Linked DNA regions of Schizosaccharomyces pombe. The protein of the gene in region 1 interacts with the protein of each later gene in a pairwise test. Each region holds a gene or a part of one and is shown in the gene's direction. Other genes may lie near its edges.

What was found.
Region 2: the proteins of erv2 (region 1) and man1 interact in a two-hybrid assay, tested with the Schizosaccharomyces pombe proteins (2 studies listed by BioGRID).

The regions. Positions count from the first base shown.
Region 1 is NC_003423.3:1,006,146-1,009,304, forward strand, and holds erv2 (sulfhydryl oxidase), read left to right. Parts: upstream 1-1,808; 5' UTR 1,809-1,872; coding exon 1,873-2,451; 3' UTR 2,452-2,565; downstream 2,566-3,159. Other genes in the region: cut3 (condensin complex SMC subunit Smc4), read right to left, coding at 1-318; protein Cwf25, read right to left, coding at 2,654-3,159. UniProt on the Schizosaccharomyces pombe protein: FAD-dependent sulfhydryl oxidase that catalyzes disulfide bond formation in the endoplasmic reticulum lumen.
Region 2 is NC_003424.3:5,234,608-5,240,535, reverse strand, and holds man1 (LEM domain-containing protein Man1), read left to right. Parts: upstream 1-2,157; 5' UTR 2,158-2,217; coding exon 2,218-4,752; 3' UTR 4,753-5,380; downstream 5,381-5,928. Other genes in the region: poly(A)-binding protein Nab2, read left to right, coding at 719-1,300, 1,344-1,442, 1,489-1,731; SPOM_SPAC14C4.04 (uncharacterized protein), read right to left, coding at 5,440-5,928. UniProt on the Schizosaccharomyces pombe protein: Required for correct meiotic chromosome segregation.

The DNA.
Region 1 (3,159 bases):
AGTAGTAAATTCTGACACAAGTTGTGAACTCCGTTCATTGAAACCTGTTGATTTAGATGGAGTGCCATCTTGAGCAGACATAAATTTGTTGAGCAAATTAGGGCGTTCGTTTAAAGAATCGGTAATTCTTTTTTTTAAAAAGTCATTGAAAAATGGGCGAGATGGTGTTTGCTCTATCTTGACAATTGATGCGACATCTTTCTGAGAAGGAGATTCTAGCACTGAGCGAACCAACTTTCGTGGCCTTTCACCACGATCTGGCGTAACATCCACAATCGAGGGTGTTGAAGACGTTCGAAAGATGCCCTTGTCAGACATAAAGATAGTATCTTCAACAAATTATATATTACTTAAAATTCTAAAAGAGTGGGTGGTCGTGAAAAGAGGTGTGTTGTTTACAACGGTTGAACAGCATTTCACCCAACGATGAAGTCAATTAATGAATAAAATATACAAAAACCCACAGTTAAATTACACTAAAGCCCATGTTTATAAACTAAAGACTGAAGTATAATTGTGTAAACAGGTCATGTTAGATGAAAATGATCTATTTATTTTATACCTACACACCTGATTTAAAGGAAGACTTCAAACATCTTTTTACCTGTAATTATAAACTCATGTGTCTATTATACATTAAATTATTATGCTAGTCAATTTGGTATTCTTGGACGTTGAAAGTTAACTCAAAACGAAAATTAAGTAAAAGAGAATATTGCTCTGACACTTTACACTAGCAAAATATTAAAAGGACGAGCAGAATACATTGCTGTTTCTAAGTTTTTACTAGCACAAGCAAACATCCTCTTTCAATTCACACAATAAATATAAAGCTCAAAGATTTTTTGTTCTGTATTCCTTCATTAAATCTAGCAAGACGACGCAAAAATTTACCTTGTTTGGGTAGCCCTATGTGTGAAATAACCACGAATAAAGAATAATCAGTAAGTAATATAAATAGATTAGCTCTTTAAATGAAATGTTAATGCAAGGAAACGATTTGTCCAAGTTTTTTAGAACAACTTTTCAAATTCACTATTGTTTTGTATTTTTTTAGCTTTAAACTTGACAAGCCTTTTGCCATATGTTAATTTAACCCAAAATTCTTACATTTTGATTTAAACTAATCAAACGCAAATTCATATCTTCAAGCAATTGCAAGTAATTTATCTTTAAAACATTTAAATCTGTAAACATAGATTATTATATGCTATCTATGCTCACTTGATAACTTAGCTAAACTCTTCCTTCTTTATTTATTTATTTATTTTTTAAACAAAAACTAACAAGTCCTCTTAGTTTTTATTTATTTACGTTAAGTTTCTTTTTTTTAGTAAATAATTCCAAACTTAAAAAAAATTTTATAGTGATAAAACCTAGCAATGGACTTTATAATAATGATACTTTAGTTAATTTTTTTGTTGTTATTTGGTTATATCTCTATCACTAAACTACATATTTATTAACTATTAACTATACTTATAATTAAAACTCTTCTGAGTCTTAAAATAAAAAGCATATAGAATTGATATAAAAGATATTTAATATCTAAAAAAAAAATTAAAGGGTTGGCAATACATTTATCTAAATCAATTTGGTAATGCATTGGATCATCCAGCAGCCTGTTCCATCTTACTACTTTAAAAGTTTTTCTGTTAATTAGCATTAGATATAACGATGCACTCGCTCTGTATAACCCAGGAGGTTAGTTTTGTTTACCATCAATTCCTTCTCGTTATTGCAACATAGCGATGCCGCATATCAGATCAAAAAAGCCGCGTGAGTTTCTGTCCTTGCAGTTCTCCTTTACAATTAATTTGGTAGATGAAGGTGTTCTTACGGGGAAAACGAAGTAGCTAAATACTATAAAACATGATCCTTAATAGAAGAATTCAGGTGATTCTCCCTACCCTACTAATCTTATCGTTTATTATATGGATCTTTCACAGTGTTATGGTAGACAAAGATTGGCGTCTGTTTATGCCTGAAATTAAATCGCTTCCGGATCGAGAAGGTCAAGGTAGAAAACCAATTGAGATGATGTCCACGAAGCACGATAATAACACGAATAATTTAATGGTAAATGCATACTGGAAGTTAATTCATACGGTTGTTTCCAATTATCCAAACAGACCAACATTAGATGAGCGAGATATCTTAAGACATTATCTATTTTCTTCCGCTATTACAATGCCATGTGGTGAATACTCTGTGGAACTCCAAAAGATACTAGATGTACATCCTCCACAAACAAGTTCTCGAAAAGCAGCAACTACGTGGGCTTGCAAAGTACACAATCAATTAAATGAGAAAATGAATCAACCAAAGACATCATGCGATGGATTTAATGAGAGATATGTAATCGGATCGCCGACCTATCGCGAAAGCGAAGCTGAAAATGTTCCTGAACGGGTACAAGTAATTAACGAAGATCACGACTATTCTGGTTGATAACAATGGTTAATTTTAAGAATTCATGTATTATTAAAAAATATTACCGTCTATCATGCAATGCATTTGGATGTTAAGCTATTTATTTAATGAACCCTAAACTGATATGTTCAACTGTTTACCACCGTCATTTCCACTCATTATTCAGAAATGTTATATCGTTATGCATCAAAGTTATATTAGAAAAAACATAGAAATCACGTTACGGCCTTAACATGTTATGTCGGCTACTATTCACACGATCTGCCAAGCTTACAGAATCACCAGAGTAGATCTCTTTTCTCATATTTCTGATAAAATCTCCTTGGTTATCCCATTTTCTTGCGGTATCGCGTCTCTCTTTTTCCAAAAACTGTTCTTCATCTCTTTCTTTCTTTTCCAATAGTTCAATTTTTTTTCTTCGTGACTCATCTAATTCCTTAGCATTGTCTTGCATTTTCTGTAAACGGCTTTCTATATCGGTATGCCTTTGAGTGATAGGTTGCGAGTCTCGAGAATGAAATTGGTGATTTCGAGTCCTGAAATCCGGAGATGGTGAACGAGAATATTGTCTGCTTGTTCGCACATATTTTTTTAGGTCTCTTTCATCTTGAAAATGACCCTGATCAAAGCGCATATCATCATCGTAATGTTTCTTGAAATAACCAGAGTCATATTTATCTCGATGCCGATAGCGATCATTGTGTGTGCGTTCTCTCCAATTATTTC
Region 2 (5,928 bases), on another chromosome or scaffold:
AGGAAAATATTTGCTCGAGAAAGTAATTTTGAACTACTAGTTACTATGAAGAAATAACTATATTCCAAAATGACAATGCAATGTAATTGCTTTGTAGTTGGCTAAGCCTTTAGATGTATATATATTAGACGCTTAGATTCTGGACTAGTTTAATTAATGCTGTTACGTTGTGGCGTTATAGTGTCATCGTTAGTCGTTGAATAGTTCTTATAGTGAAATTGGGTATAATATTCGAAAAAAAATTAGCAAACTCGCTATTTTATGCTATTTATTAATTCTTTCTGTTCTTACTGTGAAAGATATTTCTTATATTCCACTTACGTTTGAACTGAGGCTCTTGCTGTATTTTAACTTACGGCTTGCAGTATCAATATAACTATTGCTACTAGAAATTACCTTTAGTCTACGTATTCCATTGAAGCTCTCCGAACGCATCATCTATAGGAAGTTTATTTCTTTTGGAACGGCAAATTTGCCAACTTCTTGTCTGTGAACATATTTTTGTGATTGTATTCTTTCTTCTCAATTCCTTTATTTCATGCTAAGTTGAGCTATTTGATTTCATTTTAGAGCATATACCGGTACATAACTTATTAAATTCTGATTCCATAACAGGAGTGGAATTGATTTACTAATTCTCGGAGTACATTTATTGTAAATTTGAGCATCTCTATTATTTTGGCTTATTTTAGTTAATTATTGACTGTAAACCAACAACATGACTACATTACTGGAAACACCTGGATATAGTGAAAAACTTCATGATTCGATTGAAAAAAAACTTTCTGAATATGGGTGGGGAGAAGAGGCTGCTTCTCTGGCCGATTTTGTTCTTGTGATGCTTAGCAATGGAAAAACACAAACTGAAATTAATGAAGAACTAGTTGATTTAATAGGGTCCGATTTTGATACTAGCTTCTCACTTTGGTTATTTAATCAAATTGAAGAGCTTGAAAAATCAAAAAATGCTTCAGTTGAGTCAGTCAGCAAGATCGACGAAATCGATTTTATCGAGAAGGAGTCAACTGACAAGTCGCAGCAATCTTTCTCTGTGCCGGAAACTAGCATACAACCTCAATCTTCTCAAACTCCTAATATAACTTCGTTACGTGAAGAGAAGGAGCTACCTACTGGGCGTGTCGGACAAAAGCTCAAACTTACATCTCAGAAACAGCGATTCAATCCCATGGCAGCTTCGTTTAACTACTCGAAATCCGTTATGCCTGCTGCCAAGCGTGCTCTCACTCAAACCCAAGAGGTCCCTTTGTGCAAATATGCCGATAAGTGCTCCCGTGCTAACGTATGTATTAATATCAGATAATTTGTTAAAACTAACTCTTTAGTGTATATTTGCTCATCCGACACCAGCCGCAGCCCCAGGAGAAGGTATGGTCCTGAGCAGTGAAATGTGTGCTTCTGGTAAAGAATGCAAAGCTGCTGATGTAAGTACCATAATAATTTAAATCTAACTATTACTAACGTATACAGTGTGTCAAGGGACATCCATCTCCAGCTACGGTTACTACATTACCACCTTTCATGTCCATGTCAACCATTCCAATTCCTTGTAAATATAAACCGTGTTTGAATCCAGCTTGTCGTTTTATCCACCCGACGAAAAGCAGAAATATGACATGGCGGCCACCCTCTAAAACAGAAGAGACGTCCCTGAGTGAACGTTCGTTTGCTGTTAACGAGTCAGAAGAACAACTTCATGTTCCTTCTGTGTAAATTTAGAGAATTATGATACTATTTCGTGTTCGTATAATTGGCACATATCTACTTTTGATAGTCAAGCCAGGATACTTCGTTTAAGAACATACCTTCTAGAGTTTGCAAACTTGATATTTATTTTATTGTATAGATTGCTAAAACGATAAAGTTTTATTTGTCGCTACGTTTGCTGCAATCGGCAATTATCAAGTCGCTAAATTGATTTAAAAAATTTGTTTTCGTTATATTGATGTCTTTTTAGTGAATGAAAATTTTATTTTGATGTGAATTATGCAAATAATGATTTATTTACTTCTTCGGTTAAGTTAATATTATACATATTCAAATACCCACGTTTGTTGACATTCATTACTAAATACATCTTATGTTACTTGTTGGTTACTTGGCTTACACCATGTTGTTGACAACAATCACTTGGTATTTACATTCGCCAGTTTTACGTCTATACACATACCCTTTAGTTAAAAGGTTTTTTTTAATTGAATGGAGGTCCCTTCTTATTTTGACCCCGATTATGATCCTTCGTCTCTTCGAGTAGTAGATTTGCGTAATATATTAACTGAATATCAAATATACTATCCGTCAACGGCGAAGAAAGCGCAGTTAATCACGCTTTTCAGTAAACTACGAAGGGCAAAAAATGGCTTGATCTCTATGACAGAATTGCAGCAAAAGAACGTTCCTCCGTCTTCTCGTAGTCCTCGTAGAAGGGTGGCAGGGGTTACGAATAATGTTACTGCTCGAATTAGCTCTAAGAGAAAAATAAATATGGTTGACGAGGCTAATGATACAGAAATTTCTAAAACTTCACAATTTGAAGATAATGTGATGGGGATGTTACAGGACGAGAACGTTCAAGTTTTGAATACTAACACGATAACCATTTCAGAAGAATCTGAATTTCATGCCTCAAAGATTGCCAAAATAGATTCGCGAAACGAAGAAATAACACATATACCATTTGAGACGCAAACTGAGCTTAATGCGGCAGTTGTAAACCTCGACAACTCAATGGAATCGTCTTTTTCAATTGTCCAGAATTTAACAAACAAGGATTCTTCTGTAGACACCGCTACTTACGATTTTTCTGCAGAAGTTGGTAATATCGTAACACCTGCTTCAAAGTTTTTAGACTATGATCAAAGCTATCTTGTTAATGCCTCCGTGTCGGGTGATCCAACGCCAGTAAAGGTATTGAACACGACGTCTCCAAAAAGCGAAAATCCATTGAACCAAAGTTCTTTTCTCAGTTTCTTAGGCGAAAACCTAAAGCCTAAGTTTACCTCCCGTTCGTCAAGCGTTTACGCTTCTCCTATCAAGTCGTCGTTGAATTCGCTTGAATGTAATCCAAGTAACCTTCTTTCAGTCAGAAAAAATTTTCAACAAAGTTCCGACTCTTATCTCAAATCAAACAAGTCATTTGACCAACTCAACAATTTGGTTGGCTTGTCTACTGGTAATTCGGAGAACTTCACTCCAGAAAATAACAGTTTTTCATGGACTCATCCCAAAAAGAATTCATCATCACCCCTTCCTCAATCTCAATCTTCCTCAATTTTTGTAGAACACCTAAATCAGCTGTACGAAGCAAATGCATCAATTCATCGTCCTGTCAACCCTGCGTTTTCTACAAATTTTGGGTTAGAAGCATCTAATACATCGACGCCAGAGAAGAAAAAATTTGATTCCCAAAAACCCGACGATGATTCGGTTAATGAGATTTCTTCTGATCTCGGTCTTAGTACTACGGGTATTGATCGCGTGGAGGAAAATATTTCCTTGACTAAGGATAGGCAACCTAAAAGGCCATACTTTAGTCTTGGTTCATTCATTTCTTTAATTTTCTCTTTTACCAAAGTGGTAAATTCCTTATGGCTTGTATTGCTTGTCGTACCTCTCTTGGGATTTGTAGGCTTTTGGCATCAAGAAGTACAGCGCGTTGGCTTCTGTGGAGTTCCTGCCGAACCTTATCCTTCTAGTCTATATTATCTCCAACCAGGAGTTTTACGTTCCTCTATTGAGTCTGCATATTCATTTGCTCACTCTTTAGGAATTGAAGCCTCTTGTCAACCTTGTCCTGAGAACGCTGAATGTGGTTTCAATCGTCAGTTATTTTGCAAAGAAGGATTAAAGGCTTCGTTTCCTTTACTTGCAGATTTCGGCTTAAAACCATACCCACGATGTATTCCGAATACCGTGAAGGTTAATAAGGTTGAAGAGATGGTGCAGGCATTTATGTCTATTATCGGAAAGTGGTACTATAAAGCCCCTAAAGAATTTGCCACTTTTGAAAGTGCAAAGAATTTAAACGGAAAATCATTTGTTGACAATTTTAAGGATCGATATTACATGTATAAGCAGGACATCGATAATGTAGTCGGACTTAAAGATTTTAAAGTATATCTGAAGACTACTTTAAACCGTCTATATAATTCAAAGCTGACAAGAAAAGTACTATATTACTTATTTTCTCCACTATTTACTCTTGAGCTATGGAAGCTCCGAGTACGTGGGGCATTGAGTAAATTTCCGACTAATTGTTTGCGATCTGTCTACTCTCATACAGTTTCCTTAATGAAGTATTTGACTTCAGCAGTTATATCCTGTTGGCGAATTTACTTGTTGATTGGTATATTGGCAGCTATTACCGGTACCGTTGTATGGCGAATAAGAGTCTATGCCAAGAAGCATGTAGTAAAGCATGGAGTCTCCGTATGCGTTTCACATTGTATTGCTAAGCTACAAAAAACCAAGCTAAAGTCCTTGACAGATTTTTCTGTCAATCCTCGTGTAGAAGTCGTGCAGCTACGTTCTGACTGTTTTGTATCTGGAGTCGCAGATGACAAGGGCCTTTTTGAACTTGTACATCTCCCTTTGTCAATTCAATTAGAAATATGGGAAAAGGTGGTTTCAGTCCTTGAAGGAATGGTAAGCGTAAAGGTATGGGACAGTGAGCGCTTGGCAAAAAATCGTGCTTGGGAATGGATCGGGGTTTTTTCAGATGACATTGCCTTATAAAATACGGTTAGATATATAAAAAATGACCTTAAGGTCAAACTTTATGAATGTCGTTTGGCATGATGATTTATGAATCTAGATACGAGTGCAGCATCAGTAGGTACTATTATGTCAACATTATTTTCCTCACGTTAATATAATTATTTTTTAGTTATTGCACTTTGTTAAGCACAGGAGCTTATAGATTGAAACACTATCGAAAAATTTAATCAACAGATTCGAAAATTTCATTAATTTAACATTGGTTTTTCTAATTAAAAAAAGAATATCAAATTTAGACCCGAACCGTTTGCATTAGCTGTCTAAAAGAGCATTTCAAATTAGCATTTGGCATCCGGCCTCAATGAAAATAAAGAGTTCCATGTGACAGTTCTTATTTTGAAGGGTTCTGGCATGTTTGTAAAAATTCAATGCCTCGACGGTATTGAACGGTACAGTCTAAAACAGGTCTAATACACTTTTAGAGTTCTAGGACTAAAAATGAACGATAAACAAGGGCCATAAAATGCTCCAAATCAAACAAAAGCCAAACTCGCAAATTGAATTATCTTTATTGCAATATAACTCTAAATACGCAGAAATATGAAATTTATAGAATATGAAATTAAAATAGAATCTGGGAAACTCAACAAAGAAATAATTAACACGTTTAGTATAAGATAAAATAGTAAAGACAAATAAGAAAGATTAATGCAATGCACTTGCTACGAGATTTCGTAAAGCTTTACAAAGTAGTTCAACATCGCCAGAGTAACGACCGGAAGCATAGAAAAACTTTTCGTCCGAATAAACCCAGTGAGCAGTTTTGGGCCCTGGTACGTATTTCGATTCAGGAATATAAGTATAAGTATAAGCCGGAGGATTAGATGCGCCAAATAAATAAGACGCTCTTTCCATATAAAGTGGAGTCGTAGTCGATTTAATCTCAAGATTGGGAGCAGCCCGCTGAACAGCGATTGCTCCTTGAGCCATTGTTGCTAAAACGCGGGTGCCACTAACACGGGCACATAAAGGTATATAGTCAGCTAACAATGAACTGAGACGAGGAGACTCTACAAGTTCTAAAACAGCGGGATCCTGCCCTCCTGGCACATAAACCAAGTCAAAGTTTTCAAAGGTAAAGCTCATATCAGACATATTTGAAGGACTTAAAAATTCTTTGGTAGTTGACATTCT